Linked DNA regions of Caenorhabditis elegans. The protein of the gene in region 3 purifies or fractionates together with the protein of the main gene of each other region. This does not show direct contact. Each region holds a gene or a part of one and is shown on either strand. Other genes may lie near its edges.

Region 1 (4,113 bases), on a different chromosome or scaffold from region 3:
AATAAAAACCCTTCGATTTTTCAGTTTCAAAAAAAAACGTTAAAAAATCGGAAAATTTTTGATTTTCTGGTTAAAAAAATATTAAAACGGAAATTTTTCGATTTTTCGTTTAAAAAAACCTCTATTTTTTTATTTCAGAAAATCAAAAAATAAAAACGAAAATTGTCATTTTTTCGGTTAAAAAATTATAAACCTGAAAACTATCAATGTGAAAATTCTTTTAAAAAAATCAAATTTTTGAAAAAAGATTTTTAATTTTTGATTTTCAAACCATAACTTCAACAAAAATTGTTTCAGGTAGCCGACCCAATGATGATAACTCTTCACATAGCCTACAAGAATCTCCATCGTCCCGATTTCGCGAAAATACTCGATCTCACACTCAGCCTCCGTGATCAACAAGAAGAAGCTACCTAAATTGAGCCGCTGTCAAATCATGATAATTCTGTGAAATTTCAAAATCTCAGGTTTTCCTGGCATATCTCATCTTCCCGATCTACAAACAATCTAAATTCTTTTTTTTTAATCTAAAACTTTCAATTTGCTCTGTTTATCTGTATAATTTTGATGATTTTTGTTTTGTTGAAAAACTTTATTTTAAACTTTTATGAAAATTAAATTGTAAAAGTAAAAGGGATGTTTTTACAAAAGATCACGTTCTTCTTTCGGGAAGATTGTCTCAAGATTCAAGACTCCAATCTCGAAGGTTTTCTGAGCACGTCCACCAGCCGAGATGTACTTGTTTGGAATACGGAATTTGATTTTTCTTTGTCCTGGAATAATTCCATCATCACAATCATGATACACTTTGAACACTGGATCGATATTTGTCAATTCACGTTCGGATCCTTCAAGACGGAATGTTCCATCATTATTTGTGAATCCCTCGTCAAGAACATCATCTGGATCTGGACCATCATCTTCATCCCATAGCTTCACTTTTACTCCTGAGGCTGGCTTACTTCCGCACATTAATTTGCCTGAGACGGCGACTGACTGGAATGTTTGAAATTGGGATTAGGTCGGGGAACAACTCGAATTTTAGGACTTTTTTGAAAAAAACTGGGAGTTTTTTTTGAATTTCCTAAACTTTCAGTTTTTAATTATTTTTTAAGTTTTACGATTTTAGGGACAAATACAGTCCAACTCTCGCCACGAGAGAAAGTTTTTCAAATCGAGACTGCGAAAAATGGTATGTGCCTTTAAATAGTACAGTAACCACGTTATTTCGCAATTTTCTTCATTTTTTAAATGTCATCCAGACACGAAATTAAGCACTTTGCTCCCTAAAAATACAGTACTTGGTCTCGACACGACGAATTTTTGTTAAACGTAAAAAGGTGTGCTCCTTTAGAGATTACTGTAACTTCAAACTTTTGTTGTTGCGGAATTTTTCATCGATTTTTCATAGTTTTTCTCACGATTAAAAAAAAAATATTTTTATATCAGAAGCCTAGGAAAAATCGATGAAAACTCTGCAGAATCGAGAGTTCAAAATTACAGTATACTCTTTAAAGGCGCACATCGTTCTATATTTAACAAAACAAAATTTTAAATGTGTCGTGTCGAGACCGGGTACTGTATTTTCGAAACAAAAATCTGAAAATTTCACTTCTGTGTGAATAACCAAATTTTAGTGCAAGAAATTATTAATTAAATTACTGAAAATTAAACTTTCCTATTTTTTTTTCTACATTTCTGATTATTTTTCTAAATTTTGTCGGAAAATACGGGGTTCTGGGCTTCCTCATTGAATTTTTCGCGCTCCATTGACAATCGCCTGCCGGACAACGCGTGTGAAAGTCGTGTACTCCACACGGACAATTACATTTAGTTTTGCAACTAAAACCGAGCCGCGACGCGACACGCAACGTGCCGAAAATCTCCCCAGATATGGCCGAGCCAAAATGACCTAGTTCGGCAAACTCTTCCATTTCAAAATATGAGGGAAGCCAGAACCAATTGAAAACGATAAGGAGAAGTGGGTTACTGTATTTCTTAAAGGCGCAAACGTTTTTCAGTGGCTTTGATTCTATTTTTTTTATTCATTTTTAGTAAAACATGGTGCATCGTCGCGCAAAAATTGAAAAAAAATATATATAATTCGGAACACCTCAGCCTGAATTTTCGGCAAGACTAAATGATGATGCTTTGAAAAACAAGAAAACAAACCTGTTGTCTCATGGCCAAAGTGCAGCCGAAAATGGCGCAGAGTAGAAGAAAAGTGTACTTCATCTGAAAAAAAATCATATTACAAATCAGACTTTTTCTGAACCTGAAAAAATGAATGTGTTACGGTTATTAGCGAGAAAACTGGATTTTCAAGCGAATCTTTTCAGCTACCGTACTCGTGGGGTACTGTAGCAAAAACGAAGTTTCGCTCGTGCCAAGACCCGATTCAAGTGATACGTGGGAATTAAAAAATAAAACGAAAATAACTGATATTAAATCTCCGAGAGCCTCTTCTGCCAAGAACAACTGTCTCGAATTGATAGAATGGGGTGGAGTGAGGAGTTTTTATAGGAGTTTGGAGAGTACAGAGAGCACAAGAATGATTCATCCGAAGAACTTTTAAACATTTCAGTGTCACAATGGAAAATGATGTTATCATCGGAAAACAAAAAAAGAAAAAGAAAAACATGAAAATTCAAAAATAGAACTTTTCTGTCCGGAAATGGGATGATACTGATATTTGTATAAAAGGAACTATTGGTTCATGACAAGACAATTTAATTTTTTGTCTGACTCTGTACTCTGTACCCACAACTTTTTCTACGTGGCCGCGAAAGAGAAACCCCGGCCACCCTCATCATTTTGGGGGATTTTCTTGAAAATTGGTTTTCCGGATTTATAAAATTCCCCTTTTCTGGGCTCTTGTGGGTATCGATTTCTATATTGTGAAAAATCAGAAAAAAAAAGAAAAAACTCGGCCACTGATTTTCGGCCACGACGATGTAGAAAAATGTAAAAAAATGTTGAAAAATACATGCGTTTTTTAACATTTTTCTACACACATGAATAGGGGAAAAACTGTATAAAAATACATTTTTGCATTTTTCGTCATCACATTAATAACCCCATTACACGGCCCCGTGAATTGGTGGCCGAGATTTTTTCTAGGCTGTAGCTGATTGTTGAAACTAAACTTATATTTTAAAACTAACAAACATTTATACATATATGGAAACCAAATTCTATTGAAATAATGAAAACTGTCAACAATTATTATAACTTATGTACCTGCCAAAAAATAGTTCAGCCATGACGAATTTTCGCACTATGTATGTTTTCAAACTTTTGATCTTTTTTCTGAGTCATCGGGACAGGTCTTTGTATCTCTCTAGGTTTAAATTGGCTGAACACAATAGTTTTCACATTTTTTTCATATTGTTACGAGTTTGCATAAAAATATAATTGGTTCATCAGAAAACATCAAATTTTCTTCACTTCTTGATATTCTTAAATTCCTCAAACCTGCAGCAACGAAGCTATTTATACGGTACCTGGTCTTGACACGAAAACTTTTTTAATGCAAAAAGTTGTGCGTCTTTTACGGGTACTGTAATTTCAAACTCTTGTTGCTGCGGAATTTTTCTTACTATTGATTTCCCCTATTTTCTTAGTAGATCTACAAAAAATTCGGGAGTATACATAGATGCAGAGTTCTCATCAGATTTTCTCATGGTTAAGAACGTGCTGACGTCACATTTTCTTTGGGAATAAAATCCCGCAATTTTTGTAGATCAAACCGCAATGGGACAGCCTGACACCACGTGTCTAGGTAATATAACACTACAAGTAAAATTTTTCGCCAATAAATTGTGGCGAGACCCATGTGCGCCTTTAACTTAACGGCATTCTCTTGATTTTTGATTCGTTCTCTGATAAGAAAAGTCTAGTTTTCTAGTTCCCTGTCACATGAAACTTTGATCGGTCTGTGCTCGTGAACTCTTTTCCCATCAAACAAATGCCAATCATGAAGCCTAATCGTTATCAGTAGTGTAATCAGAAAGATTGGAAAATAAAATGGACAACTGTCCGCCTCTGTCAACAACAATTTCTCACAAACACAAAACATTTGGGGCTCTTTTTCATTTGGCTCGGCTTCTTTCG
Region 2 (2,944 bases), on a different chromosome or scaffold from region 3:
GCGGTCAGATGATTTTCTACTTCCAAAGTAACGTCGAAAGTTGCCTTGTAAATTGGCTCATCGAAACATGGGAATGCATAGCGAGCATAAGTCGACTCAAACTGAGTTGAAGCCAAGAACTTTTCGGTGCCGTTCTTATCCTTGTACTGACTGCGATAAAATCCTCGCATCTTATCGTTCAGTTCACCGACAAACTTGAAGTCGAGCTGAACCTTCTGTGGCTGCATGGTAGTCGGAAGCTTGATAGTCAAAATATTGAGCTTATCGTCGTAGCTAGTTTCGAGAGATTTAGAAGCGTCTCCTGGCTGAGTGATAAGCGATACCGACTGAATCAGCAAACTCTGTGCATGCACCTTCAAGACATCAGTAGCTTCTTTGATTGTGACGTCAATCGTTGCATGACCATCGAAAGAGAATCTGAAAAACAAGAATTAGAACTTGAAGTGGTTTTGTTGCAAATTTAAACTACATATCAACATTTATTACTGCCGTCCTAGCTAAACTGAAATATTATTACAGAACTTACTGGTTGAGGCATGGCGATAAACGGACGTTGTAATGAGTTGGTTCGGCGAATGTTGGAAGCCTCTCAAATTTGACCGCCGCGCTTGGGTTTCCACAGGCCGCCATTCTGAAAAGTTTTATTAATAAAATGAATTTTTGACACAACTAAATTGAAAGAAAGAGAAGGATATCACAAATGAAAAAAAACACTACTAGGAATGGCGGGAAATGTGGAAAGGAGTTTCTGATTGGAATAAAAAATTAAGAGACGACTGTAACGTTATGCTCCGTGGCATCATCTTGCTTTAATCCTTTAGCTTCTGATGCTTTTTCTTGCTCAAAAGTGTCGAGCGATTCAGGAGTGAAAGCAAATGGAAGAAGAGCGCGAGTTGAGGTGATGAGAATTTTATTGTTAGATGCAGTTCCCACAACAACCTGCAACGATGACAGTGAAAAATTAAGAAGCTCTAGTTTTCTTACTTTATAGTCACCGAATTCAACTAGAAATTGACGGCAAAGTCCACAGGGAGACGCAGGTTCGCTGAGCTCAGTGACGACAGCAATGGCACGGAATTTCGTGTATCCTTGTGACACAGCAGAAACAATAGCACTACGCTCAGCGCAGATAGTGCCACCGTATGAAGCATTCTCGACATTGCAGCCTACAGAAAATGCTAGAAACTTCAAAAATGCATGTTGCGAAACTGAGAAGCCCGCAGACATCTCGAGTTATGCAACGACAAGAAATCACAAATTACCCTGGACAATTTCCCCAGATTCAGTGAGAAGCGCTGCACCAACTGGAAACTTGCTGTATGGGCAATGTGCCCGTTTCATCGCAGCTCGGGCCAAATGAACTAGTTCCACATCGGAAATATCTTGAGGAAGACTATTCGCGGCCATCTGTAGTTAACTATGACAAAAGTGCATGAAATGAGAAGCGAATGAGGCGAATTAAATTATTAGAAGAACAGAGAACAACATTGATGAGAAAAGTTAGCAATACACAAAAGAATTTGCGTTGTGGAACGCATGCAAAGTGACGTTAAATCCCATATTCAGTGAACGGGTCGCGTTATATTTAAAAAAAACATGACAAAATGGGAACTTTGCAACTATTTTTCAGCCTCAACTTCGAGAATTGGTGAAATGAAAAATCCACGGGACATTTTTGCGCGCGCGCGGCCCGAGAAGTGGTACCTGTACGCAATTTGTCTACCGTATACCTGGACGTTTGGGCGCGTGTATCTCAAAAACGGTTGGTCCAGTTTTTTTGTGATGCATATAAATAATGTCCGAAATTAAATTCTAAATTTTTTGGACCAAAGCTTTTTTCATTATCACGCGCCCAAACCTGGTCTACACTCAAATTATCAGTAGAGCGCATTTGCATAGATGTACCACTTGCCGGGCCGTGGCGCGCGCGCGCATTACAAAAGTCAAAAAAATGCGCGAGCGTGTTTGCGTATCTCATTGCGTACTCCAGCGTACCGTAGTTTGTCGACCACGAACGTTCGTTCGCGAACGAATTCGAACTCAATTCAAACTTGTCTCTCTTTTTATAACAATGCCGAAATCATTGCGAAAACGGTTTGTACTTGTGAGTATCGATGATAACATCGAACAAATTAATGCTGCACGAAAGCTTCGTCGCTATTTGGTGAGTTTTTTCTTTAATTATTCTTCCTAATTCATATTTTTAGACGAACAATCACTTGAATCACATTTTCTCGTCAACTCCGGAAGAAATGAAAGAATATTTGGATAAATTGGACAGTGGAACTTTTAATTTTCGAGAAACAGCCGAGGAACAGAAATCGGTTGATCCGTTTTCGGAAGCAAACCAACCCGCCATTCAGATGTCTTCAAACCAAGAAATATTAGAGAAATGGGCGGTAAGGATTGAATAACTCGAATATTGTTCGAAAATAATAAAAAGTATTTCAGCGCGGAACTTTCGCCGAAAACTCGGATGCGTTGAAACTTTTGCTCGAGCCAACTAACATCGAGGAAGATGCAGTTTTGGATGATCACGAATCAGAGAACATTGTAAACAGTAAGAGTTCGTTCATTTAATTTTTAATATTTCGCTGATAACAGATATTCCGCAATTGTTTATGGTAAACTCAATGGATGCTGAAACACCAAATGACTCGATAATCGTTGAAAACGGAAAGGAAGATCAACTTGATATGGCATATTGTTCGGTGAGACCCCGACAATTGCGTCAGATTCAACTACAATTTTCAGCTGTGCAAGCATGAAGTGGAAACCGGTAGAAACCGAAATACAAAAATTAGGAAACAGACTGAACATGTTCTAGACGCCCACCCAGAATCGGAATTTCTCAATGTAGACATAGCAAAACGCTATGAGTGTGTCCACTGTTTGAGAACTCTTCCTGTGTCGAAATCACCATGTGAACATATTTCTGAACACC
Region 3 (3,861 bases):
CCATACTCTGAATCTGAAGTAATCGAAGTCCAGCTTCTGGTCCTTGACATTTGTTTGTAGGTAGAAGGACGGCTATTACTCGCTTCTGAAAAATATATAATTTATATTTCTACTTTTTTTCAATTACCTAATTTGAAAGATACAGTCTTGAGAGCTCCACTACTCAAAGAAGTTCGAAGTGCGCGTTGACTTTTGATTTCATCGTACATGGTTTTCAGCAGAGTTTCGAGATCGTCAACTTTGGCACTAAAATTATTTTTTCTGAAACAACTTTCGTACTTCATTTTGATACCCTAGAACCTCGGTCATCATCTGAAGTCGTTCGATTTCGACGATATTTCGGTCATCTTTTCTTGCATAGTATAGAAATATACCTACAGCCGCACCTGTGGCTGCTGTTATTCCCACATATTTCCATACAGTTTCAGAACTTGTAGACGGCGTAGTCATCTGTTAAGCTTAGAAAATACCAATGGCTCACTGATTTAGAAGTATAAAGATTCAGGCAAGAACCGGACCGTTATGACACGTGACAAATTTTATAGACAACTGGAGTGTAAGAGATGGAAAAAGAAAAGAAGAAAAGCAAAGTGACATCGGGGAGGAAGTTTATTGAACGTAATAAAATATCAAAGGATCACTGAAATATCAGCTGGACAAATTCAAACAAAACAAATGAAAACAGTAATTAATTTTAGATAGATTAGATCTAATTACCCAATTTAGCTTTTTTCACTGGATTCTCTTCTCCTATTTCGAGAGCTTTCCGTGCCATGGCAATTGCTCCTTCACGAGTCAGATTTCCTCCAATGAATCCGGAAATGTGGACAAAGACTCCGCCTGGGATTCCACTTTCCTTCGAAAGATCGTCATCACGGAGACCACGCCAAGCAGCTGGAAGTGGCATGCGATTCTCGAATGATGACATTTTGTCGACTGGGATTGCTTGAACGCGCCACGAAGCATTGGTAGAATCTAGAAAACAGATAATAATTATTGAATTTTAAAAAATTAAATAATTTCTAACCCGAGAACAGAATGTAAGTGATATTATCGTCGGCAATATTCTTCTCTACTTCAATGTCGAAAAAGTGTTCTTTCCACGGGCATCCACCGTTCTCGATAAGAATGATCCTTCCAGATGCATCAATTTCAAATCGTTTATCCACAGCAGCTTCGATGATCTCTCTAGCTGGCCACCAAACATTTGCCAAGTACTTCACTGATCGTGAAAACTCTTCACCGATGAATTGCATTGCTTGTTGGAATCGTTCATCAGCATCATTCTCAGGTTCATTCCAATGGGAATTGAATTGACCAGTACGCGATGAAAGATTTCCTGATGAATGATATCTTGGAACTCCGTCGTATTGAGAAATCCCGTTATCAATGGCGTCGATTGATTCAACGAATTGCTCGTAGAGACGATGATAGAATAGATCAATCATCGAGGATGACACATTTCCACCAAGGATCTGAAGTTAATAGTTTCAAAACAACCTTTTGATTATTGAAAGTTACCTGATTGATGACTTCTCTCCCGTAGTGAGCGTAAACTAATCCTGCAGAGCTTAGTTTTGTATCAAAGTTAAGCTTCTCTAGAGTACGCATGGTATCAGTGAATCCACGTTGATGATGATCGTATCGTTGTTTTGAATGATCAAAGATTCCACCGACATCGACGATAATATCACACTTCTCCAGTTGAGCAGCGTCACGGGTTCTGAAATTACAGATTTCAGAACTCAGCTATAAAATAAATCCTAATAAAAAAGTGGGTCATTTCGCAAACTTGATAAACATGAAAAATCGAATTACCTTAAAATCGAATGATCCTTGAATTGTGGCAATTGTTTCAGCATGAAACAAGCAAAAGCCTCATCGCAATGGAATTTTCCGGAGTGAGTACCAATGAGCGATGTCATCTTGTGACCGAACTGTCCAAGAAGTCGTGAAATCACCTGCAGAGAGAAAACATTTTAAAAATCAAATTACCTATCTTTATGAAACCGTTATCAATAAGTAGTTTAAGATATGATGCTCACGTTCAAAACGAAATTTAGAGGTAATAAATAATAAACACAGAATAAATTTCAAGTAATTTATGAAAACGTTAGTCATGGAATGAATTTTTGAAACCGGGCTTTAAAAAAAAGTAAGTACAATATCTACAATTGAAAAATTTGATTGAAACGGGCGACACTTTTGCAAAATGTTATGCGAACGACATTCCAGGGTACTTCACGTTAGTTTGGAGAAAATGTTCCATTTCGTGTCGAGTCCGTGGCTGTGCATAGTCACCGATGTAATGTTCCTTGTAAGTTCGATAAAGCTCTTTCGCTTTTTCACATGATAAATGAGCATAATGAACCGGAACAGGCAACGAGATGGGTTTTCGACATCTAGCAGAGAGAAAAGCAAGTCCGTAGGTCATTTTCTGAAACATTTTTTTATAATAACTATATGCGGATTACAAAATCCTAAAATCGCTAACTGCTATTCAAAACGCTTACATAGACTTCATCTTGGCTCATTCCTTTATCGTCATACATAACAGTGTAATGTCCTGGACGAGATGTACCAAGGACACCATGATGAGATGCCAAGAAAAAATCGAATTTGTATTTCGAAACGATAAGTTTATCCACAGTTGTTCCGGATGATGGGTTCACAATTCCAGTTTCTTTGCTTTCTTTCATATCCTCCTCCCATTGTTTAACAGCAGCAACAGCGACATCTGTTTCAGCAGGAGTAAGATCTTTATTGACCACTGGCTTATCTTTTTCCATTCTTCGAAGCAATCGTGTATTGTGTCTTTTCTGAATCACAATGAACGTGTACTTCGGCTCTGGATCTTCTCCATCCCGTTCCGACATGAATTGTTTTACTTCGCTTTTTAAAGATCGAAGCTCATCATGACTAACACGTAGCATCTCCGAATCGCTAACTCCGTCTCGATAGACTACAATATGCGCTGGTGCTCGATTGTCGTTGTTCTGAAAGTTTACAAAAAAATTAAAAATCCCAGAGATCTTTTAAATACTCAAGACAACTCACTTCTGCGAATTCTCTGAGCAATTTCACGAACTTTGCTTCCAAAATATCTGTTCTTTCCCGTCCATGAGCCACTGCACGCTCACCGGGACGACATTCTTCTTGAGTCACAATCATATTTCGATAGATAGTTCCACCTGGATTGATACTCGCTACTACAGCCGCTATAGAATAATCAATTCCACTGTAGGAGGTTGGATGAGTTACATCAATTCCAACATACATAGTTAATGGCATTGTTTTCCGTCTTTCTTTTTCTTCTGGTGATATTTCTGCAATTTCTGACCAGTCAAGCTCCTGGTTAATACCTCCTAATTTCGCGTTGATTTTCAATGCAATTTGATAGAAAATTCGTTTTGATCCTTTCTCGTGCCTTAGTGATGCCAAAGCTTTTGTGACTGTTTCAGAAGTAATATGCTGATTAGCTACACCGATGGTGTGATCGCAATAATGTTTCACAAAACCGTAAGCATTCAGTTGTCGTTTGGAAATGATAATGAACATTAAGACTTTTTGTTCTTTATCGGGAAGACGTTCAAACATATTCTTCGCTTCTGTTGCGGCTATTTCAAATCTACCGATTCCGGTATTTAGTGTACAATTTTTGTAGAACTGTAAATATGATATTTAAAAACTTTCAATTTTCTGAAACTTACGGCATATTCATTTTTCGTCGCGTCGTACATAATAGATTGCGCTCCTCTGTTTTCATTGGCACCAATTCGTATTCCACGGAACTTGCAACCACCAATTAGTTCGGTGTAGAACTTACTGAAAATATTTCGGAATAATCTACGTAGAAAACAC

Evidence for each region.
Region 1: the proteins of C27H6.8 (region 3) and ttr-51 fractionate together in Caenorhabditis elegans (co-fractionation; one large-scale study listed by BioGRID). This does not show direct contact.
Region 2: the proteins of C27H6.8 (region 3) and cdd-2 fractionate together in Caenorhabditis elegans (co-fractionation; one large-scale study listed by BioGRID). This does not show direct contact.

What each region holds. Positions count from the first base shown.
Region 1 is NC_003282.8:13,250,077-13,254,189, forward strand, and holds ttr-51 (Transthyretin-like family protein), read right to left. Parts: upstream 2,236-4,113; coding exon 2,173-2,235; intron 997-2,172; coding exon 643-996; 3' UTR 579-642; downstream 1-578. Other genes in the region: JC8.7 (Zinc finger, CCHC-type), read left to right, coding at 298-417.
Region 2 is NC_003282.8:7,546,487-7,549,430, forward strand, and holds cdd-2 (Cytidine deaminase), read right to left. Parts: upstream 1,408-2,944; coding exon 1,263-1,407; intron 1,167-1,262; coding exon 985-1,166; intron 940-984; coding exon 766-939; 3' UTR 632-765; downstream 1-631. Other genes in the region: pam-1 (Puromycin-sensitive aminopeptidase), read right to left, coding at 1-417, 527-631; oef-1 (C2H2-type domain-containing protein), read left to right, coding at 2,072-2,164, 2,208-2,399, 2,452-2,560, 2,605-2,711, 2,755-2,944.
Region 3 is NC_003283.11:9,985,828-9,989,688, forward strand, and holds C27H6.8 (MYG1 protein C27H6.8), read right to left. Parts: upstream 1,962-3,861; 5' UTR 1,926-1,961; coding exon 1,819-1,925; intron 1,724-1,818; coding exon 1,522-1,723; intron 1,476-1,521; coding exon 1,028-1,475; intron 976-1,027; coding exon 710-975; 3' UTR 604-709; downstream 1-603. Other genes in the region: rmd-2 (TPR_REGION domain-containing protein), read right to left, coding at 1-85, 128-246, 293-450; rde-1 (Piwi domain-containing protein), read right to left, coding at 2,216-2,437, 2,514-2,996, 3,058-3,666, 3,711-3,825.